Cricetulus griseus: one gene and its partners. The main gene of each other region encodes a partner of the protein of the gene in region 2 in a complex. Links are inferred from orthologs where the notes say so. Each region holds a gene or a part of one and is shown on either strand. Other genes may lie near its edges.

Region 1 (8,363 bases), on a different chromosome or scaffold from region 2:
ACTGTGATCGGATGCTTTCTTCTGGTGTTTAGACTCTCAAGTAGCAAAGAAAAAAAAAAACCACCCATAAACATAAATACATTAATATTTTTTAAAAAGTACTTTAGATAAGAAAAAAACCACAAAACAGTAGGTGGGACATACTGGAAGTTAGGTCACTGGGAGCATGTTTTCCTGTGTCATGTCTTTACTTCCTTCCCAGTATTTTCCCAAAAGAAGCCACAGCAGGAAAACCAACAGGTGCTTGCATATTGTTTACATCAGTGTTTTTCACAATAGTCCAGGGGTGAAGACAACCCAAACACCCACTGACCTACTGAGTTGGTAAAATCCCCCCTCTCATCTGAGAGTCAAGTCCTGAATAAACTCATTTTCACTGACATGTGTAAGCAATAAGCTCTAATAGACTCAACACTGTGAAAACATTACACCAAGTAAAAGCTGCCAAACACAGGAGGACACACACAAGATGTCAGAATTACAAATTCAGAGACAGATTAGTCAGTGCCTAAAAACAAGTGAAGACAGAGAGGATGAAGGCAGGTGATGACTATGGCCCAAGTACTGAGATCCTATTTGGGACAGTCAAGCATTAATTTTGTTTATATTTTGCAACAGGGTTTCTCTGTGTAACAGCTCTGGCTGTCCTGGAGCTTGCTCTGTAGACCAGGCTGGCCCCAAGCCTGCCTCTACCTCTCCAATGGAAGCATCAGAATTAGACAACAGCGATGGCTGTACAATACTGAGGATGAGCTTTATGCCCCTGACCAATAAAAATTGTTACAATTTAAAAAAAAAAAAAAAAAGGCCCAGTGGTGGTGGCACACGCCTTTAATCCTAGCACTCGGGAGGCAGAGGCAAGAGGATCTCTGAGTTCCAGGCCAGCCTGGTCTACAGAGAAAATTCCAAAGCTACACAATGAAACCCTGTCTCCAAAAACAAACAAACAAAAATCATCACAATTTGATATGCACATTTTTAAGTTTTATTTTTTTGAGATTACAACACAATTACATCATTTTCCTCATCCCTTTCCTCTCTCCCATATGCATATGCTTCTAAATACAACCTGCTCAGTCTGTACTTGCATGTGTGTGTCTTCAGGGCCGACCATTTCTTATTGGTAACTAACTGATGTGTTCTTCCCTGAGGAGGGCTATTTCTCCTGCTTTCAGAAGTCTTGAGTTGCCTGTAGTTCTTTGTGTGGCTTGAGGCCTTCTGTTGTGTCTATCCCTGCTCCTCATACACACACTTTGGTATGTTTATTGTTATCTTTGTTCATGCTCCGTTTTAAAGCAATGAAGAATGACTAGAGGAACAGCAAGATGGTTCTGTGGCTAAAGGTGCTTGCTGCCAAGCTTGACAACCCGAACTTAATTCCCAAGGAAAAGGACTCTGAAAAGTTGTCCTCCAACCTCCACATATGCACAGCGGGCACACACAAATAAATACATGTGATTTTAAAAGAACAATTCTTCAAGAAAGGAAACTACTGGCCAGGTAGTATGTCGTACAAGGCCAGCCTGGTCTACAGAGCAAGTTCAAGGACAGCCAGGACTACACAGAGACACCCTGTCTTGGTGGGGGGGAGGGGGGAATTACTAACAACGCTTCTTCGGTGGTCAAATTACAAAAATGATGGCTGCTTTCTGCTTTCCTCTTTATACAGGCACAATTCACCTAATAAGCATGTGTGTTACCCATTATGAAAAGCAGCATACACAGTCTCCTTCAGCTGATAAGTTGCTTGGTGTCCCTCTGTCCTGATGACACTGCAAAGCTCCCCAGTTTAAGCGGCCCTGGATCTCCTGGTGGTCAGCATTCTCAGCCGGGTGCTGTCCCTACCTCAGTTGGAGTGGGCTTCAGTGCTGGCCATCTAGCTGGTGAGCACAAGGGGTGCAGGGCAGGCTAGAAGCCTTTATCGATGCTGTAAGCCTGTAATTCCACAGTCTGTGTTCCTCTGCCAACCCTCCTGCCTCTGGTTTCATAGCAGTGGGCTGCCTCTGTGACCTTGGCATAGCATTCCTCCAAGAAGTGCCTCTTCATAAAAACTTCTAGTCACTATCTGTTGGAATGTCCTATTCAGTACAATGTTCCACTAAGGGCTTTTTCCTAAAGTTGGTTAATATCTTCTTTTTTGCCCCAACACAACTTTGAACTTCTCCACCTGCCTCCATCTACATGGAGAAGTACAAACACGCACAACCATGCCTGGTTATATGCAGTTCTAGGGATTCAACCCAGGGTTTCCCTTCCTGCATGCTAGACAAGCAGTCTACCAATTGAGCTTCAGCCCCAGGCCCTGGTTATTAGCTTCTGCCTCATTAATGTTTTTGGCCTTCCTGTCTAAAATCCAAGTGTAACCAGGGCTACCAAAGGCCTAGTTGGTTTTTTTTGTTTGTTTGTTTGTTTGTTTGTTTTTTGGTTTTTCGAGACAGGGTTTCTCTGTGTAGCTTTGGAGACTATCCTGGCACTCGATCTGGAGACTAAGCTGGTCTCGAACTCACAGAGATCCACCTGCCTCTGCCTCCCGAGTGCTGGGATTAAAGGCATGCGCCACCAATGCCCAGCTTAGTTGTTTTTCTTAAGTGTGGTTGGGTTTCCAAACACTTGTGAGAAACGTTCTCTGTCCAGGATTCGGCCATAGCGCAGGGTGACATAGAAGGTCTTCTTGCTACCATATTGCTGGATTCGTACCAACAGATCCTGGGCATGTTCCTTGGATTCTGACAGGGGTATTATGTCTGACACAGCACAATACGTATCTTGTCGCCACCCAAAGAAGGACAGGTGGGCCACTCGAAGCACAGTACCTGACTCATTCACATACATGAAGCCCACCAGCCTCTGGAAGAAGTAGCTCATCCAACACAGCATGGCCAGGGTGAAGCAAGAGACTCCACTCATAAGGTAGAGTGACTTGACACTCAGGAGGCCCTGTGAGTACCAGTACAAGCCTGGGGGTAGGGCTGTCACAGTCAGAAATGTCTGGGCCAACTTCAGTCGAGATAGAAACCCAAATCTTTTGATGGCTCTGAATCGGTAGATTGTATGGAATTTCTCCGTCTCTGTGCCTGGTGGCTTCTCCTGCAAGGTGGGAGCCTTGCTAGCCACCCACCTGTTGGAATCCCCCTGCCCAGTGCAGCACCACAGCCGATGAAGAGGTCTCCCCCATGTGGCTGGCCCCTGAAATCTTGGCACAGCTCGAAGGAAGACAGACTGGAAAAGAGAGTTTCTTTCAGAATTCAACCATAATAATCACACAAGGAACAAGGCAAAGCTTCCTCCAGAAAGGCTCCAACCAACCCTAGAAAGCCATTGGGGCTTCACTTTTTGTGGAATTCTGCTCTGGATAAGTGCATACTCCTGTTTTTACAAGTAAACAAACAAACAAAGAAACCCTAATCCCAGCCAGTGAGATATCCCATAAGTAAAGGTGCTTGCCACCAAGCCAGATGACTTGAATTGCACTTCTGGAGCCAACACAGTATCGGAAGAAAAATTACTCATGCAGGGATGTCCTTGAGCCTCCACATGCCACGGCACAAGCATATGCACATTGAACACACCAGGATTTTTTTTTTTTAAATTAAAAACTAAGTCCCCTCCCCCGCAAGGGCACGGAAACTCAACAGAATGAATGGGGCCAGGTCTCTCAGGCCGGTCCTTTCCCTTAGGCAGGTCCAAGTAAACACAGGAAAGGTTTACTTTCAGACATTCAGTAAAGACCTACTGACGAGCCAGCAGTGGACTCGAACTTAGGTCCACAAGTCTGTGGGACACTTCCTCAAGGAGTAAACCAATCGGTGTCACAGTGGGAAACCCAAGCATCAAAACTTTGGGGTACTTATCACAGTACCTTTGCATTTCTCCCGACTTCTTTATACGGTAGAACTACTATCTATTAGCCTGGTTGGGAAAGGGGGAACAGCGGAGAAATGCGACACGGAGGCCTTCAAAACACTGCACAACATTTTTCTGGATGAGTAGCAAGTGAGCAAATTCTGAGCTTCAGAGTCAGAGGCGGGCTCTCACGGACACTAGCTGTGCATCCTTGTGCACCTTTCCAAAGAAAGCCTCAGAATATGCTGAGCGAGACATGGTAATCTTAGGCCCTGGACTTGATGCGCGCCCGAGGAGTCGTAGCGACTCTGACCGCCCACGTGACCCAAGGGGAACGGAGGAGGCTGGGAAATAACAGATCATAATACACTTCCCGAATCGGCGGCCCAGGCATCCTTCCTGCCAGTCCTAGGCTCGACCAGGGTCCCCTAACTGCGTACCCTCTTTCACCGCCCACTACCGGCCCTCCGTACCATGATACGGTCTCCTGCTGTGAAAAGTAAACCGACTTGTCCCCGGAAACTCGAAGAGCGCATGAGCGGAAAGTTAAAAAAAAATCCGCATGCGCAAACCAAAAACAAAGTGTTAGATCTCGGGGATTGTAGTTTAAATCTTGTGTCTATGTGAGTGTTCGGTGAGTCACTAGGGAATCATCGTTTTCCCGTCGTGCCTTGGGCTACGGGGCTCGGAATGAACCCGGAAGTTCCGGGTGGAGTTCCGGGTGCCAACAAATCTTCCGAGTGGAATCATGGCCGCGCTCTGTCTCTTCGACGTGGATGGGACCCTGACTGCCCCGCGGCAGGTAGGCGGCGCCCGGGAGGCTCGCGGCTGTGGAGCGGAGCCCGTGCAGAACCCAGACCGCGGTGACCACCGCCCGGGGACCAGGAGACGTGGGTCCTGAGCGGGGTGCGCAGGAAGACGGGGCAAAAAACGACCTCTTCCGAACAGGAAAGAGTTCGGAGTCTTAAAGTTCGGGTCTGAATTTCTTTGGGGGTCCTGGGGACTGGTGGCCCGGATTGTAACTCCAGTTTAGCCCCCCCGACCTGCTGTACCACTTTCCCAGCCCTGTCACCTTTGGCTGTGTCGTCTAGTATATCAAAGGCAGGTTTTCAGATGTCTGACCTTGAGCAAATCACTTCCTCGGAGTCCCCAGTCCACTTTAAACGGGTGTATTGCCTGTTGCATGGGGTGTGTGTGAGGATAACAGAAATTCGTGACAGTGCCGCGCCCACATCAAGCCTCAAAGAGGAGACGCTTGCACCACCCCAACCCCTTCTCTACCACAATCAGCCTTTCTGAGCCACAGTTTGAATTATCTAGTGATGGCATTCAACCACAAGTTCTCCAGAACCCTTACTCAGCTTCATTGCTCAATGCACACTTATGAGTTAAGTCGATAGTAAGGTGGGCAGGTGGCATAGGGTTTAATCCCTGCAGGAGGATTTGAGGGTTCAGAGCCTGGGCCATATAGTGAGTTTGAGGCAAACCTGGGGAACTTGCCTCAAAACAAGAGCCAATAGTAGTCTAGAGCTGGAAGCGGAAATCATATATTGTAAAGGGCTTTTGTCTTTGTAGAACATATGACCTGTAGTAACTACTCAACTTTAGTGCAAAAACAGCCATAGACCAAATGTAAACTGAGTAGCTATGTTCTAATAAATTTATTAAGAGGCCGCTTAGATGGCCCAGTGGGTAGAGTCATTAAACCCTAAGCCTTGGGACCTGAGTTCAATTCCTGGAACCCACATGGTAGAATGACAGAACCAACTCCCACAAGTTGTCTTCTTACCTCTCCTTGTACATTGTGGCACATGTACATGCGTATACATACATAATAAAAATAAAATTATTATAGAAACAAACTTGTTCAGTTGGCCCAGGAGACATAGTGGCCAGGAGTCTACATTTCTAAGCCTTTGTACAGTGTTGAACTTGCAGTTTTGCTAAGATTAAAGGTGCATGCCCCCACCACCCAGCTTCTACCATTCAAATGTAAGGAAACCGAAACCAGTGAAGCCCTGACTGCCTCTCTCTCATAGCAGCTGTAGTTAAAGATCCTGGTCCTCAGGGCACTGTTAGTTGTCCAATTTCCTTTCACTCTGCTAGGGTGGAGGCCACTCTGGGTACTAGATATGCTACTGAGAAAGTGCTTCTGTTTCCCAAGTAAATGAAGATAGATAAACATGAAATACAGAATAGCAAAAAAGCCAGGTGACCCAGAGTGTATTTCCTTGCAGACATTTGAAACAATATGCTTGCAGTGATCATAAGCAATTGTGACAATAAAAGAAAATGTAATTTGAAAGAGAATTTTTTTTATATGCTTGGTACTATAGTTCAAATATTTTGGCAGCAGATCTGTTTATCATCAGCCCTTCCCGCCTCCATCCATGTGTATTCTTAGACGTTACTAATCACAGTGCGGTCTGGAAGAGGAAGAACAGGCTATCTTTTATTGCAGTTGTTGTTATATGATGTGACCTGCATGGATCCAGTCTGGTTAGCATGAACTTCAAAGGTCTGCACATTTCCTGTTTGTGTAGAAATTTGTTGGCCTGGGTGCTTTCTTCCAAATCAAATGTCATTCCGTCCCTAAAGAGTAAGACTTAAGAAAAGTTTTCAAAAAATAAATTAATAAATAAATAAGGACACAGGCCTCCATGAATCATATTCCAACTCTGGCATCCTGAAAAAAAAAAATCTCACATAGAAAGATCATTGACAAATACAGTGAACAGAGAACCCATATCCCTGTCACTTAGGTTAAAAGCAGCTGATATTTAATCAAAATGACTTTGTGTTTCCTCTTAGTAACTTTCTAAATCACAGTCATGCTCCTTCACCATTTTGTATTTTGTTTTTGTTTGTCTGTTAAAAGACAGTCTTAGGAAATCCAACTATGTAGCCAAACCTGACCCTCAATTTCTGATCCTCCTGCCTCCATTTCCCAAGTGTTGGTATTATAGCTCTTGACACTATACCCACTTCTGACATATTAAATCATATGTATATAACATGAAACACCTTTAAACAACAAAAGATTGGGCTGGAGGGATGGTGTCATGGTTAAGAGCACTGGCTGCTCTTCCAGAGGACCCAGCATCCACATAGTGACTCACAACCATCTGTAACACCAGTTCCAAGTGATCTCTGCCCTCAGGCACTGTATGCTTGTGGCATACAAACATATATATTCAAACAAAAACAAACAAAAAAGAAAAACTAGATGTATGTATTATCATAAAAGGTTACCACAACATAAAATAGAAAAAGCAAGTCATTGCACAGGACAGAGAACACCATAAACATTCATAAGTGAGTAGACAAATGTGAATAAATATAACTAAATAGTAATTTTTCTACACACTTAGTAAAAGCACTGGGCTTGTGTAAAAACAGGAACTAAATTAGTTTGCAGTTTCAATCTGGTTATTGTCACTCAAATCATCCTATTTTCCTTCCTGACATACAGAAAATTACAAAAGAAATGGATGACTTTCTACAAAAATTGAGGCAGAAGACCAAAATTGGAGTGGTAGGTGGGTCAGATTTTGAGAAAGTGCAAGAGCAACTGGGAAATGATGGTAAGTGCTAATTACACTCTAGTACAAGATTAACTTCTCATGAGGGTACTGAGACTTGCCGCCAAGTGTCCCCTGCAGTCCCAAACCACCATCACTCACATAGCATGCTTTCTGCTTTCTCTGGGAAAACATCTTCTCTGCCCTTATTTGGCCTTTGTTTTAATCCTTTGACAGAACCCTACACTCAGGTGTAGACAGACTCACCTTGAAGTACATGTCTGTCTTCACTTGTGGAACCTTTTCTCTCCCTACTATTTTACATGTCCCTTACTTCTCTCTCACTTCAGCCCAAACCCCACCTCCTGGCTATGCTGTCCACTCAGATTTGTATATACTTATGGTCTCAGTACCTTGTCCCTGTAGCCCTGATGGAGTGTGTTCCAGGGTTTCCTAATCATGAGAGTCACTAGGATCCACATCACCAGGGTCTCCAGCACAGGACTAGGAAGCTAGAGAGCCTTTGTGATAGGGTCTCACTCTGTAGCCCAAGCTACATCTTCTCCTCCTAAGTGCTAGAGTGACAGCGTCAACCACCACACCTCGCTGGAGCATCTTCTGGTTTCTTTCCTGGAGATGATGGAACAGCAGGTCTCTAAGACCTGAACATATATATTAGCAAGTATCCCAACCCTGCTGATGGAGCACACTCTGGTATAAAGTCTTTGTTGTCTTACAGACTATGTGTTATTCCTCTCTGTTTTCCCAGGGTTTCTGGGGTAGCTGGCCCGTGAGAAATAGTGTGGAGTGCTCTTCTGTGAGCCAGATACTTGGGAGGCTGAGACACGGGAGTCACAAGTTTGATGTCAGGTGGGGTTGGAGAGATGGCTTAGCAGTTAACAGCACTTGCTGCTTTTATGAAAGTTCCCAGGACACACATGACAGATCACAACTGTCTTTAATTCCAGTCCCATAAGGTGCACATACATTCATACAGGT
Region 2 (8,050 bases):
CACTCTCTCTAGAGACCAGGCTGGCCTCGAACTCACAGAGATCCGCCTGCCTCGGCCTCCTGAGTGCTGGGATTAAAGGCATTCGCCACCAACGCCCGGCCTGCTTATGTTAACATTTTTTAAAGTTATATTAACATTTTTTAAAGTTGTTCGTGTGTGTGTGTGTGTGTGTGTGTGTGTGTGTGTGTGTGTGTGTGTGTGTTCTCATGTACATGAGTGTATGTGTGTGCCTGCAGGTATCCATGGGTGTTGGACCCCTCCTGGAGCTGAAGTTGTAACTACCAGTGGTTGTGTGCTGCCACATGGGTCCTGGGAACTGAACTCACTCTCTGCAACAGCAGCAAGTATTCCTAACTTATGAGCCATCTCTCCAGCCCCTAATGTTGACCGTTATAAAAATAAATTAACTTTTTGGTTTGTTTGTTTAGTTAGTTGGTTGAGACTCTCATTTTGTAGTCCAGACTGGCCTTAAACTCACAAGCCTCCTGGCTCAATGTCCTAACTCTGGGGATTACAGGTGTGCACCACCATGCCCAGCTCAGGAAAACTTCTCCATCTGCAGAGCTACAGGCTTCACGAGGATTGTTTGCTTTCTTTTCCCATCCCCCCACTTGTGTCCTTTGTCTAGGTCAGGAGACCAAGCCAAGATCCTTGCGTTTAGTTTCAACCTCTTTAGATTCTCCAGTAGTTGTTGTTCCTCAGCCATTTGTGAGCCTGACTCCTTCGACAACCCTCAGCAGTGATTTTGATTTTAGATGGTCTCATAATTTGGCCCTGATTCAACAGAAGCTTTTCGGGAAAGATACCAGAAAGGTGACAGCGTGCTTTCTGTGTGTGTCATATCCAGGGCATGTGACGTCACAGTGACTCATGGCTGGTGATGTGGACCATGGTCCTCTGGCTGCCAGGATGTCTACCAATACTCTCTACTATTTTTCTAGGATTATTCCAAGGACTGCAAGATAGAGACACTCAGATATACTATACCACATACAACTGACCCAGGGATACATGGCTCAGTGAAAGCACTTACTTAAAGCAACTAACTGGGGCTCATTCCCTGGTCCTTTTTGTTTGTTCTTAAATTTTTTTATTGCATTTATTTACTGGTGTGTGTGTACCCAAGCACACAAGCCAGGACACACATATGGGAGTCTGTTATCCTTTCCACTGTGTGGGCTCCAACAATTAGACTCAGGTCTTTTTCTTTTTTTTTTTTTTTTTCCAAGACAGAGTTTCTCTGTGTAACAGCTCTAGCTGTCCTGGAACTCATTCTGTAGACCAGGCTGGCATTGAACTCACAGAGATCCACCTGCCTCTGACTCCCAAGTGCTGGCATTAATGGCGAGTGTCACCACCACCCAGCAAGACATGAGTCCTGTGACCTCAGTTTCTTCCAAACACAGAAAAAAAGAAAAAGAAAAGAAAAGATTCATGTTGTGTTTTCTCACCAGCACAACTCCATTGGTGGACTGTGTTCTGACAGGCCTTGAGCTCACAGAGATCTGCCTGCTTCTGCTTCCCAAGTGCTGGGACTAAAGGCGTGTGCCACTATGCCTGGACATTAGATTACAAATGGAGTACCAATTTTCGACTGAGGGCTGTTTTTATAAGGCAAAATTGTAGGGCTGGAAGCCCGAAGATTTCAAAACTTCCGTGGTTACACAGGACAGGACAATGGTATGTGCTTCAGGCAAGGTGCAATTAAGCAGGATGCTGCAGAGGAAATGAGTTTGTTAATTATCTCCTGGGCTGGGGACTTCTACAATTGATAACTATCTGATCCTCTTTGGACCAGAGGAATGTCGACACTGCTCAAGAGTGTGATATCTGGTCCTGTGGACCTTTGTTTAACCTTGTCTGCTGGGCTGCCTTTTGGGAACTCAGAATTTTCTATTTGGGCTTTGGAGTCCAGGTTTTAGACTTTTATTAATTTTCCCCTTTCAAAAACAAGACTCCACATTCAATCATTAGACATACATATAATAATTCGATATATATGTGTTTATATACATAATCAATATTATCTATACACGCACACAACAGTTCCAGGGCATGATCACATCACCTACACATACACTCCAAAGGCCTCTCAGCCCTCAGTGTAGGCAGTTTGAAGAGTAAACCCAGACTCCCTGTTGGGGAGGGAGAGAGGGGTGCCAGGAATGCATGTCCTTTTCTCACAGTAGCCCTTGTTGTACTTATATGGCTATTTTACATAGATGAATTCAAATCTCAAAGATTCAGATTAAAGGGGGCTAAAAGTGCTTGCAACCATGCATAATGACCCAAGTTTCATCCCCAGTATCCACTTGATGGAAGGACCATTTCCCCTAAATTGTCCTCTGGCCTCCACGCGAATGTGCTCACTTAGACGCACACAAAATAAACAAACATAACTTGGAAGGAACCCTGTTAAAGCTGCTGGCGGCGCGGCCCACCTGAAGTTCCAGCTACTCGGGAGGTTGAACCCTCAGGACTTCTGGAGTCCGGGGTTTTGAGAATAGCCTGAGCACCATAGCAAGACCCTGACTCAAACAACTCAAAAGCAATTGTTTGGTAACATTAATACACCCTGGGGCTTGGGGCTGGTTGGGAGTGTGCTTGCTCAGCACGCAAGAAGCCCTGGGTTCCATCCCCACTCTGCACTGAACCGGACGTGGTGCTTCAGGTCCCTAACAGTATTTCGTCTGTAACAACTGACATTCCATCACACTTCGGGTGAGGAAACTGGACGGGACGGACTCGGCGCCGCCGCGGCAGGAACCCAAGGCCCCAGGCTCCCGCAGTTGGGTGAGGGGCAGGGATCAGTGCTCTCCCTCCTTCCTATTGGTGAGCGTCTCCTTGAGGGCGGGACCTATCGTCTCTGGCTTTTCCGATTTGCTGTCGCCTTCGGCCGGTAACCGGAAGCTCTGTGACAGAACATGAGGGCTGCCAGCGGTGGCACCTAGCCGGCTGTGTACCGCCGTCGGCCGCGTGAGTAGGTGGGTCGCGCGTGGGAGGGCGATGGGACAGTCTGGGGTTCAAGGGCGTCCACCTCCAGGCCTGGTAGAGCCGGAGAGGACAGCCTTCACCTCGGCCGCAGGGTGAGGGCCCCGTGACCTTTGGGGCTCGTGCTTGGGGACGGGCGAGGAAAGGCTGCTCGGCACCGTGTGCTTAAATGTCCGGTTTCGCGGGTGCTGGAGCAGCTCAGGGAGGCCACGCAGCCCTTGTGCGGTGAGGCAGGCTTTGGAGACCTGGGAGCGCGGCAGCCCACGCACACACGTACATACACGCCACCTCGCTGTAAGGATTCATCTGCTTATCCGTACTCAGATGGTCGGTGTTGGGCACTTACCATGTACTAGGGCACTGTCCCTGCTGGTGGAGGCATATAAATGAGAAAAACAGATTAAAAAATATATTATCTAAGAGAGGCAATTGCTGAGCAGATCGCAAACGGAGCAGATCATTTCGTGACTTCAAATAATGATTGTTGCAGTGTGTTCCATGAAACAAGAGTCTTTATGTATCCCAAGCTGGCCTCGAACTCTTTTTTTGGGGGGGGGCGCGGGGTGGGGCGGGTGTTAGAGACAGGGTTTCTCTGTGGCTTTGGAGGCTGTCCTGGAACTAGCTCTTGTAGACCAGGCTGTTTTCAAACTCACAGAGATCTATCTGCCTGCCTCTGCCTCCCGAGTGCTGGGATTAAAGGCGCGTTCCACCACCGCCTGGCTTGGCCTCGATCTTCCTGCTCCAGCCTTCTGAGTGCTGGATTACAGGCACGCACCAAGATGATAAGCAGTAGGCAGAGGGTAAAACAAGTTCAAAGCCTGTGAGACCAATAAACTTGTCTTGTTTCAGAAACAGTGTGGCTGGAGCTACAAGGATAGGGGCAGTTCAGCAGGTAGACTCCATATGAGGTCGATTTATTTATTTAATTAACTTATTTTTATTTCATGTACATTGGTTTGCCTGTATAAGGGTGTTGGATTCCTTGGAACTGGAGTTACAGACAGTTGTTAGCTGCCATGTGGGTGCTGGTCCTTTGGAAGAGCAGTCAGTGCTCTTAACCACTGAGCCATCTCTCCAGCCTCCCTACCCACCCTTTCTGATATTTACTTACTTTGAAGTTTTTTAGTTATTGGGGTGGGGTGGGACACACATGTGTGCCATGTTGCATGGTGGAGGTCAGAGGAGAGCCAGGGAGTTTTATCCATACACCTTATGCTGGTTCCTGGGATTGAACTCAGGTCATTAGGCTTGCATTGTTGCAGCAGCAAGTACCTTTCTCAGTTGAATCTTCTGTCCTGGCTCTTATTTATTTACAGTTTAGACGGGACTTTATGGTAACTCAACACTGTCATGAGCTCACTAATTACTACCAGCTGGTCTGATACTGGATGCAATTCCTCCTGCCTCAGACTCCACACTGCTGGCTTTACAGCCACAACACTTGTCTCAAGTCTTGTTTTTTTGTTTTTTTGTTTTTTTCCTTTTTGAGGTAGAGTCCTACTATGTACCCTGGTTGGTCTGGAACTTGCTGTGTCTATGTAGATCAGGCTCACCTCAAACTCAGACATCTGTCTGCCTGTGTCTCCTGAGTGCTGGGATTACAGGTATGTGCCATCACACCCAGCATTTTTATGTGTTCATGTGTGGGTATGTGGATGTATGTTAGTGCATGTACACATATGCACATGTGTATAGGAGGACAAATGTCAAACTTGGATGTTGTTCCTCAGGAGCAGTCCACTTTGTGCTTTGAGACAGGGTCTTTTCACTGGGACCTGTGGCTCACTGATTAGGCAGGCTGGCAGGCCATCGAGCTCAGGGACCTGCCCATTTCTGCTTCCCCAGTGCTGGGATTACAAGTGCATGTCACCTCACCTGGCTTTTTATGTGGGTGCTGGGGATCAAACCCAGGTCCTTGGACTTTCAGGGCAAGCATTTTACCAATAAAGGCATCTCTCCAGCCCCTTAGTTTGCATTGTTAGAGCTTTCTTTTCCAATGGAGGGAAGTAACTACTGGACAGGAGAGAGTGGACACCTATGCAGGAAAGCAAAGCCGGTCCTGGTGCTGTGACCTACAGCAAAGGGGACAGATTGGGAAGTAGTCTCCAGGACTGTTGGACAGACTGAATAAGGACATGGTGGACTCTAAATGACTCCTGCTTTATGGCTTGAATAGTGAGGAAGGGTGGTAACCCTGGCTAACCTCCAGATCAAAGGTATGTCTGTTGGTATCCCATGACTGGAGTTTGAGATGGCTGGTTTGTACCAAAATTATGTTTAGGTATGGGGTGAAAACATGAGGGAACCATGAGCACTCACTGAGAGTATTCACTGCTCTGATTAAACATGTAAGAGCCACCTATGGCTGTCACAGTGCATATTCCCACACAGGATATCTGAGTTAAGAGTCAACATTTTACAGGTCCTAGAACACAATCTGCAAAGCAAAGGTTTAGATTCTTCTTATCTAACTATATGCCAAGCAAGTATTCTACCATCAGCCCCTCACTGGGGCAGTCTAGGCAAGGGCTCTACCACTGAACCATGCCCCCAGCAGCTCACTGGGGTTCTCACTATGCAGCCCTAGCTCGCCTGGAACTTACTAAGATCTGCCTGCCTCTTCCTCCTGAATACTAGGAATAAAAGTACATTACCATGCCTGGCTCAACTAGACAAAGGTGTGTGTGTGTGTGTGTGTGTGTGTGTGTGTGTGTGTGTGTGTGTGTGTGTGTGTGCGCGCGCATGCGCGCGCACACAAGGATGGAGCGAGTGCCAGGACAGGCTCCAAAGCTACACAGAGAAACCCTGTTTCGAAAAACCAAAACCAAACAAACAAACAAACAAAAAACCCAACCCTTATTTGTACATCCCTGAGTATGTATATACAGATGTGCCATGACACCAGCACAGAGGACAACTTGTAGAATTCAGGTCTCTCCTTCCACCATGTGGGTCCTGGGGATCAAACTCAGGTCCTTAGACTTGGCAGCAAGCATTTTTTACCCAGTGAACCATCTCACCAGTCCCATCTCTTTTTTCACCCTGGGTATTTGAGATAGAACTCAGGCACTTACCAACTGAGCTGTCTCGATGGCGGCTCTATTTCTTTCTCTTGCCTGAGTGCTACTACTGGAAGTTCTGGTGCAACACTGAGAAGTGGCCAGACTGCACACCCTTGTCTGGATTCTGAACTGTGGCAAAAGAATCTCTCATTGGGCATGGTGGCACATGTCTTTAATCCCAGATCTCAGGAGGCAGATCTCTTGAGTTCAAGGCCAGCTGTGGAGGGCGCAGCTTACAGACAGCACTAGAGAATGAAGAAACTGACACCTGTTTTCCATCCATAAGGCCATGAGTGGATGTGACTGCTATTCTGTAAAGCCAGCCCTCATCGAATCCCCAAGAATCCTGAGCATTCTCTGTCAATAGAGCCCATCCTCATGAAAGAGGTCGAGTGTGCTTTACAAAAGAGCCTGCTATTATGCTTATTCCCCCTAGACTTCTAAGTACTATTTCTCAGTCAATAGAACCCATCCTTTGCTGGGCAGTGGTGGCTCACACCTTTAATCCCAGTACTTGGCAGGCAGAGGCAGGTGGATCTCTGTGAGTTCTACAAAGCCAGTTCAAGGAAAGCCAGGGCTGCATAGAGAAACCCTGCCTCGAAAAACCAAAAAGAACCCATCCTGATGCTTATTACAAACCCTTCCTCCCTAGGCTCTTGTCCTGATCACTGTTCTCAGTCAGCAGAATCCATTCTTGTGGGAAAGGTCATAGGGGCTTTGCTACAGAGATGCACTTTGCAAGGCAGTTTCCATGTAGTCATGCCTAATGCTTTGTCAGGATAATTGTCACATGACATGCAAACTTTTTTTTCTAAAATTTTACTTTGTTTAAATGTGTAAGAAATAAACCACTTGACATTAGACTCCAGAAGTTTGGACCCAGCACCAGCTAAGTTGTGCTTAACCTCATCCAGATTGTCTCACCATTGATCATGACACTTACAGGGAACCCCACAGCCAGCCTGTTCTACATAGTGAGACCTTGTTTCAAACAAATAAAAAGTAAGAGTTTTCTGCATTGTCTGAAATAATGTAATTTGGGGTTTTTGTTCTATTAATATATTAAATAAATTTTCAGATATTAAACTACCCTTGCATTTTGGAGACAAATTCTCTTAGCTATGATGTAGAATCCTTTTTGTATGTTTGTAAATCCACTGCAAGAGAACTTTACAGCTATATTCAAGAGGCAATGATTTGTAGTTTTCTTAGTGTACCTGTGGGTTTTGGTATTAGTGTATCCAGGCCTCAGAGAACATGTTAGGAAGAGTTTTCATTATCCTTGCTACCATGGAAACTTTCTGGAGGTGGGTGTGTTGGTATACACCTGTAACCCCAGCACTCAGGTAGAAGCAAGAGGGTCAGTTTTAGATACATAGCAAGTATGAAGCCAGCCTGGGCTACAAGAAAACCTGCCTCAAAAAACAGGGAAAGAGCTGGGCGTTGGTGGTGCACGCCTTTAATCCCAGCACTTGGGAGGCAGAGGCAGGTGGATCTCTGTGAGTTCGAGGCCAGCCTGGTCTATACAGAGAAAGCCTGTCTTGGGGGAAAAAATGAAGAGTAACTTCCAGGTATGAGCCAGTGAGATGACTCGTTGTATAAAGGTACTTGCTGCCAAGCCTGAACAACTGAATTTAATTCTAAAACTCACATGGTAAAGAAAAACCAACTTCACGCTATCTCTTGACCTCCACAAAAGTGCATGTACAGTGGATGCATGAGGTAGGCACACATACACACAATAAATCAATAAATATAATTTTAAAAATTATCAGACTTGGGGCTGGAGAGATGGCTCAGAGGTTAAGAGCACTGGCTGCTCTTCCAGAGGACCTGGGTTCAGTTCTCAGCAACCATATGGTGGCTCACAACCGTCCGTAATGAGATCTGGTGCACTCTTCTGGTGTGCAGGCAAATATGCAGCCAGAATACCGTATATGTAATAAAAAATAAATTAAAAAAAATTGTCAGGCTTGGTGGCTCATACCTGTAATCTC
Region 3 (8,225 bases), on a different chromosome or scaffold from region 2:
AGGATAGACAGCACTGTGCAGATGGTGTCTGGGTCTAGTTCCACCCAGTATTCAGAGCCTCGATGTCTACACTATAGTCCATAGGTTCTAGGAACAACTTATTCCGTGTAACACTAACTTAGCCACTGACTCAAAATTCATACTAGGCCTTGTGAGTTGTCTCAGTGGATAAAGTGCTTTCTGTCAAGCCTTACAACATGAGTTTGATACCTGGGACTTACATGGTAGGAGAGACCCAACTTTCACAAGGTATATTCTAACCTCCACAGACATGCCATGGCATACAATGCGCACATGAATATACACACAAACACACACTAAATAAAAGAAATGCAAAACCCCATGCAAGAGTAGAAGTGAGCAATCACCAGCTCTATGTCTATAATTGTACTGTCTGTATGCATCAAGTTAATTAAAGTATACTTTGGCTATGAAATCCAACACTATCACTATTGTAAAGTGTTAAAAACATCATAATCTATACTTATGTATACACAAGTCAATAAAGAGAACTGAAGGTTCCCTAAATGTAATCTGGTCTCTCAAAAATCTCAGTCCTTCTGCTTTGCCTCTCAAGACCTAAGGATAACAGGTGGGTGCTACTATGTCCCTAAAATAAGGAAGACGACAAGGAAGCCTGGCCTTGCCACCTGGTCAACATCATAATGAAAGTCTGGCCAGTGCAGAAGGTCAGAGACAAGAACTCCAGGCTGGACATGAAGAAAACTGCTCATCAGCAACACAGTCGTCTACAGAAACTCCACAAAAGCCACCAAAAGAAGCTTCTAAAACTACATAGCTTTTGCCACAGTATGTGAACTACCTGACCTCAGCTATTTTCATCTTTTCTAGTTACTCACTTTAATTATGTTATATACAAGTTTTAGCCTGCTGCAGTGTAGAAACATTTCAAAGAGGTTCCTTACCACAGAGACTAGAGGAGTATTGAATTAGTGTCTTTTAACTAAACTGAGTGATCCCTGAAGGTCCTATTATGAGTAGAAACTATTGTAATTTAATAACCACACTAAGAGCTTCCTCTCTCTATAGGGCTTCTTATGTAAGCAATCCAATTGACCCTGGGAAGACAATGACAAAGAAAACCATACACACCTTCTTCGGTAAAGAATCTTTCCACTGGTCCAACAAACTGATTGATTTCACTAAGTTCATCTTGACTAATCTCTGGAAATGGGAAAACTCCTTTCTAAAAAGTAAAAAACAAGTATGACAAATTCAATTTCCAGGAACTTCTCATTATAGTGTTTATCAAAAGGGAAGGGGAGGGAAGGGAAGGGAAATGAGTTAGGTTACACATCTGGTCCCAGGAGGGAGGCAGAGAGAGACATGACTTCACAAGATCCTTCAGGGATGGGCTTACGTCTAAGGCTCTATTGTTATCTATTTTCTTGTACATGCAGGAGAGTTAAATCTTAATTTTCACCCTTGTTATCACTAATAAGGGTGCAGAGTGTCCTATAAACAAGTAGCTGGGGACTTCCATTTAGATGCCCTGCTATTTATTTACTAGTTTTGAGGTCAGATTCCAGCAGTACTTCCATTTTCTCACCAACAATGTGCAGGCCACGTTTCCCCAAGATTCCTTTGAGACTTGTGTGAGACAATGGCTATGAGGACTCTTCATTAAAACAGACATCAATCATTCTTTGTGTGAGCTCAAATGTTCCCAACAGTAAGAACATATTCCAATCACCATGCATGTCTTCCCTTGAGCAACTGTTTCTTAGGACATGGCTACTGGCTTCCTGTGTTGAACATTAGAGGTTCAGGATCCCAGGACAAGAATTCAACCTGACTTAGCCACACTTTACCTGTGTGACTGGATTTAACCAACTTTCATGTCCTCTGTTAGTGTGGACTCCTGTGAGTTCAAGGCTAGCCTGTTCTACATAGTGAATCTTGGGCCTGCCAGGGCTACACATCAAGCTCCCATTTCAACAACAACAAAAACACCAAACAAATACAATTGCCCCCCAAACAAAACAAAACAAACAACAAAACCAAAGCAAACAACATAAAACTTCATGAGGAGATTCTGGGGGCCAGGAGGAAAATACCCTCTAGTAATGAGAGGCAGAACTGAATGAGGCACACCATGGGACTGGAGCTTGATTTCAATCAGCATCTTCCAAGCTGGTAAAGCAACAGAACCTGTTATTCAAGTAATTCAACTGCAGAAGTCAATTATAAAAGCCAAGTGGCGAATGCCTTTAGTTCTAGCACTCAGGAGGCAGAGGCAAGCAGACCTCTGTGAGTTAGAGACCAGCCTGATCTACAAGAGCTAGTTCCAGGGCAGCCTCCAAAGCCACAGAGACACCCTGTCTCGAAAAGAACAAAAAACAAACAAACAAACAAACAAACAAACAGAAAGCCAACTGGCTGTAGGTCAGTCTGCTAATGTCACACAAACCTCACCCATTCAATCTCCCACTTGTCCCTGTGGCAGCCACTGGCATGGGTAACTGAGACACTCCCTCCCACAAGACTCTAAAGTATCACTGCCACTGTCCTGATCAAGGTCTAGAAATGCTTTGAGAACTGTGTTCCACTGATCCAGGAAGTAGCTAAAAGTGGTCAGATTCTAAATGTAACTTGAAGACAAAGAAAGATTTACTTACTATAGGATGCAATGTGGGCTATGAGAATAAGAAGAATCAAGATGTCACGGGAGAATGTGCTGAATCAGAGTTTCCATTATCTGTGGTAAACAAGCTGCTGGGAAAGGCAACAGTGGGTGGGATCCAGGGGAGACTTTTTATATACGCTTATCAAAGATGCTTATTAGACATTTTCGGGGAGATTTTGAGCAGAAAGGAAGATATAGGTCTGGAATTAAGGGAAGAACTTTAAGGTGAAAAGTAAATCTGAGTCATAGGCATAGAGGCGATATTTAAAGCCAGGACACTGATTAGTTCATCAAGAGGCTTGCTGTAGATGAAAAGAGAGGGCTATAGACAATATGAGAATGAAGGGACCAGCTCCCCATTTCGGCAGCCATGACAGTAACATGTGCTTGCCATGACCTTGTCCTAGTCTCTAGAAGTCAGACGCCTGCCTCATGGCAAGGAACCAATCAGAAGTTAGCAGGTGGCACTATGTTTACGGCTCTGGGTATGCTTTACAGACAAGTGCTCAGCAATGACACACAGAGCATAGCAACCACCCTGGGAGGGCCTAAGGGCCATAACAACCAATTGGCCAATCAACACAGGGCAAGCCCTCCAAGCATGGAAGCACACCAATCCTGAGCCTGTGCGTACCCCTAGACACGCCCCTTACGCTGCCCTACAAGATCTCTATGCAGCTGGTTCCGAGGTGTCTTTGCTAGCCATCTGCCACGGTGGGTGGGTGAAAGACCCGAGCTAACAACAACAATAAAGCCTCATGAAGTTTGCAGCAAGTTTTCGAATCCACCTGGTGATTGGGTGACCACGGTTGTGGGCTAAGACCCTGGAAGCCTGAGTTTTCCAGGGGTCTAACAAGAAGACTGTCTAAAGACAACACAACTAAAAAGAATCGAACTCAAATTCATTGAAAAGCCTTCTCACTGGGCGTTGGTGGCGCACGCCTTTAATCCCAGCACTCGGGAGGCAGAGGCAGGTAAGATCTCTGTGAATTCGAGACCAGCCTGGTCTACAAGAGCTAGTTCCAGGATAGGCTCCAAAGCCACAGAGAAACCCTGTCTCGAAAAAAAAAAAAAAAAAAAAAAAAGAAAAGAAAAGAAAAGCCTTCTCACTCTCAACGTGATGGCCTGGAGGTTGCTACAAGCTGGGTTGTGGAGCTCTGAAAGGGGAAAGGAAACTTGGAGGAAGTCGCAGAGCTGAAGGTAAGCCAGAGAAGCTGCACGGAATGAGTTGTTTAGAAATCATATCTCCCAGCCTGGACAAGGAGATGATGTCTTCGTAATAACCACTTCAAGGATTTCCCAAGTTTCCCTGACAAGGAATAGTTGGAAAGGTAGGTGTGATGGCACACGCCTCTAAATCACTACTCTGGAGACTGAGGCAGGAGAGTCACGATTTAAAGGCATGCCTGGTATACGGAGTGAGTCCAGAGGCAGTTTGGGCTAATAATACTTAAGGAGATCCTGTCTCAAAACAAAAACCTCCGCGACCCTATTAAAGCCACATTTCCCCGAGCCCAGCCTCTCCGGCGTTTGTCTTTTAAGGACTCCGGCCAAGTACCAACGAAGGTGGAAATAGGACAAGGGAGCCAGGGCTTGCCTTACCTGCTCGATGTTGCCCAGGAAGAGCTCCTTGGCAAAAGAGCAGCTCTGCAGACTGGTGTGCAGCCGGCGGTGCGTCCCCGTGAAGATCCTAGGCACTCGGGAAGCTCGCACAGCAGTCGCCGCCGCGGCCAGAGCCGCCGCGCCACGAGACAAGAACCCGCAGCCAGACATGCTGTTCTTGACACCAGGCTTTAAGTCACCGGAAGGCTCCCCGGGCTCCTGATGACGCAAATCACCCGCGTCCGATAAGCCTTCCGCAGGCGGAGTAGCCAAAGTCTCTCCCTAAGTGAGCTCGCAACCGGAAGCTAGTCCGCGCTTCTTAATAATGCACGGGCTGCGCCGCCTCATGATGTTCCGCTCTGGAGGAAACCTTAATCAAGGCTGTCAAACGGGTCGATCCGGAATATGCTGTATGTAACTTCTGAATATGTAATTCAGAAATTGTAATTTTTTTCAACCATCCGAACAGGCTAGGAGTGTGTGTGTGTGTGTGTGTGTGTGTGTGTGTGTGTGTGTGTGTGTGTTTCTTGTTACAATTTTCCCAATAAGGCAAAAATGCTTAGAAGTCAAATTGCTAAAGGACTATCTGGGCTCCCGAAAACGGGATCCCTGGAGTCTATGTGCTTATTCTCACCAGGTCCCTTCAGTAGAAGACTAATTTAGGCATATAGACTTAGAATCACAACCTTGCTTTGTTCTCATCTCACTTGATATAGTACTTAGAATATTATCAAATGAGTATAAAAAACAACAAGAGCCCCATTTTACTAACCCACCTCTACCAAATCCTTTTCAGTATGTTAGTGGAGTGATATCTTTTGTAGGAGAGATAACATAAAGCGATAATGGCATGCTGTTTCATGCCTTCCTAAGTCTACCACTCCCTCTGTCATACACCAGTTAACCTGGCCCTTGATGGCCACAATCTTCAGACATTTGCTCTCTCCACCACTCCTTGGGCAAGTCACTTCCCTTATGTCAATGGCCTTCCCTGTGAAACTATAAACACCATGGTTTTTTATGAAATGTCATGTGTTAGAGGAAGTAAGATGAGGCAGGGTCCAGCTCTCACATCAGGGTTTATTCCTATGTCTGTGATGCCTTTGTTTCTGGGCTGGTCACATCCAGTGAACCAGTGTGGCATTCATTGTTGCAAGATAACTCCTCAGAAAACAGGTGGGCTCTTAAGACCAATAGAAAGTCTTTATTTGCCAGCTACACAGGGTACTTGCCCAACTTAGGTAGCCCAGAGCCTGACTGTTCTTTGCCTTTTATGCACAGAAAGCATGTTTGACACTCTATGGTTAGCAAGAACAGTTAGCAAGAATCAAAACTATGCAAGCAAAAAACAAGACTAGTACACTTAGGGACTTTTCCAGGTCCCTGAACTACAGACTAGGTCTAGCCCATTGTGGGTGGTCCTATAATCTCTGGGTAGTCCTGGCTCCTATAAGAAAGCAGGATGAACAAGCATTGAGGAACAAGTCAGTAAGTAGCACCCTCCATAGCCTCTGCCAGCTCTAGCTTCCAGGATCCTGCGCTGTTTGAGTTCCTGTCCTGACTTCCTTCAGTGATGAACAGTGCTGTGGAAGTATAAGCCAAATAAACCCTTTCCTCTGCAACTTGCTTTTGGTCATGGTTTTTCATCACAGCAATAGAAACCCTAACTAAAGCACTCAATTCACCTATTTATTTATTTATTTAGATATTTATGTGTGGGAGAGGGAGAGGGAGAGAGAGCACATGTGTAGAGGCAGAAGACAACTTCTCAGGGATTGAAGCTCGGTCTCTAGGCCTAGTCACAAGTGACTAATCCATCTTGATAGCCCACAGACTGCCCTCTTAAAGGTTGACATCGGTGCTGACCCTCTGCTCCACTGATTTAAGATCTCCAGGTGACCTAGGAGTCCCCACGACAGTGTAATCTGCTAGTGTTGTCCAAACTCATGTTCTAGACTGGATATAACCAGGAGTCCAGTTGTACTTAACCTATCTGTGTATTGTATGAGCAATTCAAACTCAGCATGTTTTAAAATACCTAATTAGGTCCTGGGTATGTTTTTGCTTTTCAGGCAATGGTATTTACTGCGGAGCCTAGCTGATTAAACCTTAATCCTATGTCATTCTTGAGTCCTCACTTCCCAACATTATGTATTCAATACTAAAGGTTAGGGTAGGCTTTGGGGTTAGATGAGGGTTAGGATTTAGATGAGGTGTAATGTGGGAAGTACGAAGATAATACTGAAAGCAGTGCAGATGATGGAGGCCTGGCTTCTGAAGTTCAGAGGGAGGTTTAAAGGGCCATTTGCTATTTTAGATAAAGACTCATTCTGGTCTGCTGGGGCTAAAGAGTGAGTTGTGACTAACAAGAGACCAGCAAGGTACAAAGGTTTCTCTTTGTTGTCCTGGGGCAACTGATGCTGGTCAGCTGGAGCTGAGAGCCTAGTGGTGATTAAGAAGACACCATCATCACCGAAGCAGAGTCTTCTGGGAAGTGTTTCCTTAGGATCAGACACACAAGCTGTCTTGTAGAGGCCATCAAGCTTGTACCTTGTTCTGGCAACCAAACTTGATCATGTGTAAAAAATCTCAGGTGGTATTGGTTTTGAAAGCATAAAGGGGTCCTGGAGAGCAGCTGTCACTGCAAGAGGCCAGAAAAGACCATTGGTGAAGGTACACCCCGAATACCAGTTGAAGTACAAAAACTGAAGGTGTAATGGAGAGGAGTTGAGGCTTGGCACCAAAAAGAAAGCCTAGCATAGGCTATTGGTTAAAGTGCAGCCCACTTACAGTAGAAGACCCCAGAATTTTGGAGATGCCAGAACTATGGGACAACGGCCAAAAACAGCTGCAGCCATGGAGTGGAGTCAGCCCAATCCTAGAAGATAAGCTATGCATGAGGCAGAGCTGGAGAAGTGACCTGTGCACTCTGGAGGAGCTCTGAAGATCAGAAGTGGACACTAGACATTGGATACCTGGGTTGTTTACACCATTGGAGTTTGATTTTGCTTTGTTAAGGTTGTTATGGTGCCCTGGTTCTTCTCTCATGAAGTAAGAAAGTATGTAACTTATTTTCCTATTTTACAGGAGCCCATAGTTGAGAGATTTTGACTTTTAAAGACATTTTGGGTTTTTTAAGAGACTGGATATTTTGAAGAGAGCTTTTAATGCATTTGAATTTGTAAAGACTGGGTCCTTAGAACTTATTTATGTTGTATTTTATAATATTGATATTAATGTGCTACCTTGGGGACAAATGAGAAAGGAAATGTTCTAATTGAACAGTGTGTGTTTGTGTCAAGTTAATAAGAAGTCAGTTGTCCTAGCCAGTTTTAAATCACCTTAACCAGGCTAAAGTCATTTGAGAGGAGGGAACCTCAAATGAGAAAATGTCTCTATAAGATCCGGCAATAGGGAAGCCTATGGGGCATTTTCTTAACTAGTGATTGATGGTTGGGGCAGTGCTTAGCCCATTGTGGGTGGGGCCACCCCTGGGCTGATGATCCTGGGTTCTATAAGAAAGCAGGCTGAGCAAAGCATGAGAAGCAAGCCAACGAGAAGCACCTCTCCATGACCCCTGGATCAGCTCCCACCTCCAAGTTCCTGCTTGAGTTACTGTCCTGACTTCATTTGATGATTGACTCAGATGTAGAAATGTAAACAAAGTAAATCCTCTCCTCTCCAATTTGCGTTTGTTGATGGTGTTTCATTACAGCAGTAGTCTCCCTATGAAAAATGTTAATGTTAGTTAGGAATTAGGGGTTCTCATTATGATGTTAGCATAGGTGATTAGGGGTTAGTCTTTAGAGCTGTGCTTATTGCTAGGGCTTATTTAAGAATCTGTCCCTATCAAGCTATATTGTTACAATTATACAATAGCTAGTTAAAATATTTTTATTTTAGCCTCCTCCCAAGCTCTGACCCCATGTCCAAAAGATCATAAAGTTCTCCAGCCTTCTTTCCCCTAAAGCATCCC

The links. Proteins that work in one complex are often made in the same cells at the same time.
Region 1: Ecsit (region 2) and Tmem186 share a complex: the UniProt entries of both Homo sapiens proteins name them as parts of the mitochondrial complex. The link is inferred for Cricetulus griseus from reciprocal best matches to the Homo sapiens genes ECSIT and TMEM186.
Region 3: the proteins of Ecsit (region 2) and Acad9 are in contact, whole or in part, in a cryo-EM structure (PDB 8PHE), measured with the Homo sapiens proteins. The link is inferred for Cricetulus griseus from reciprocal best matches to the Homo sapiens genes ECSIT and ACAD9. Residues at the interface, in NP_057665.2 of Homo sapiens: Pro321, Glu322, Glu323, Trp324, Asn325, Leu326, Tyr327, Tyr328, Pro329, Met330, Leu332, Asp333, Leu334; in NP_054768.2 of Homo sapiens: Leu180, Thr181, Asp188, Ala189, Ala190, Ser191, Ile192, Lys228, Lys239, Asp240, Lys241, Ile242, Phe293, Ala296, Met297, Leu300, Ile431, Met434, Tyr435, Leu438, Thr439, Leu441, Gln442, Gly445, Thr449, Leu516, Gly520, Lys521, Ile523, Met524.

The regions. Positions count from the first base shown.
Region 1 is NC_048600.1:38,134,120-38,142,482, reverse strand, and holds Tmem186 (transmembrane protein 186), read right to left. Parts: upstream 4,468-8,363; 5' UTR 4,380-4,467; coding exon 4,317-4,379; intron 3,220-4,316; coding exon 2,572-3,219; 3' UTR 977-2,571; downstream 1-976. Other genes in the region: Pmm2 (phosphomannomutase 2), read left to right, coding at 4,592-4,645, 7,316-7,427. UniProt on the Homo sapiens protein: As part of the MCIA complex, required for efficient assembly of the mitochondrial complex I.
Region 2 is NC_048597.1:134,976,661-134,984,710, reverse strand, and holds the start of Ecsit (evolutionarily conserved signaling intermediate in Toll pathway, mitochondrial), read left to right. Parts: upstream 1-2,853; 5' UTR 2,854-2,976; exon of another isoform or gene 2,977-2,984; intron 2,985-4,480; exon of another isoform or gene 4,481-4,595; intron 4,596-8,050.
Region 3 is NW_023276806.1:113,496,800-113,505,024, forward strand, and holds the start of Acad9 (complex I assembly factor ACAD9, mitochondrial), read right to left. Parts: upstream 4,468-8,225; 5' UTR 4,421-4,467; coding exon 4,250-4,420; intron 1,208-4,249; coding exon 1,114-1,207; intron 1-1,113. UniProt on the Homo sapiens protein: As part of the MCIA complex, primarily participates in the assembly of the mitochondrial complex I and therefore plays a role in oxidative phosphorylation.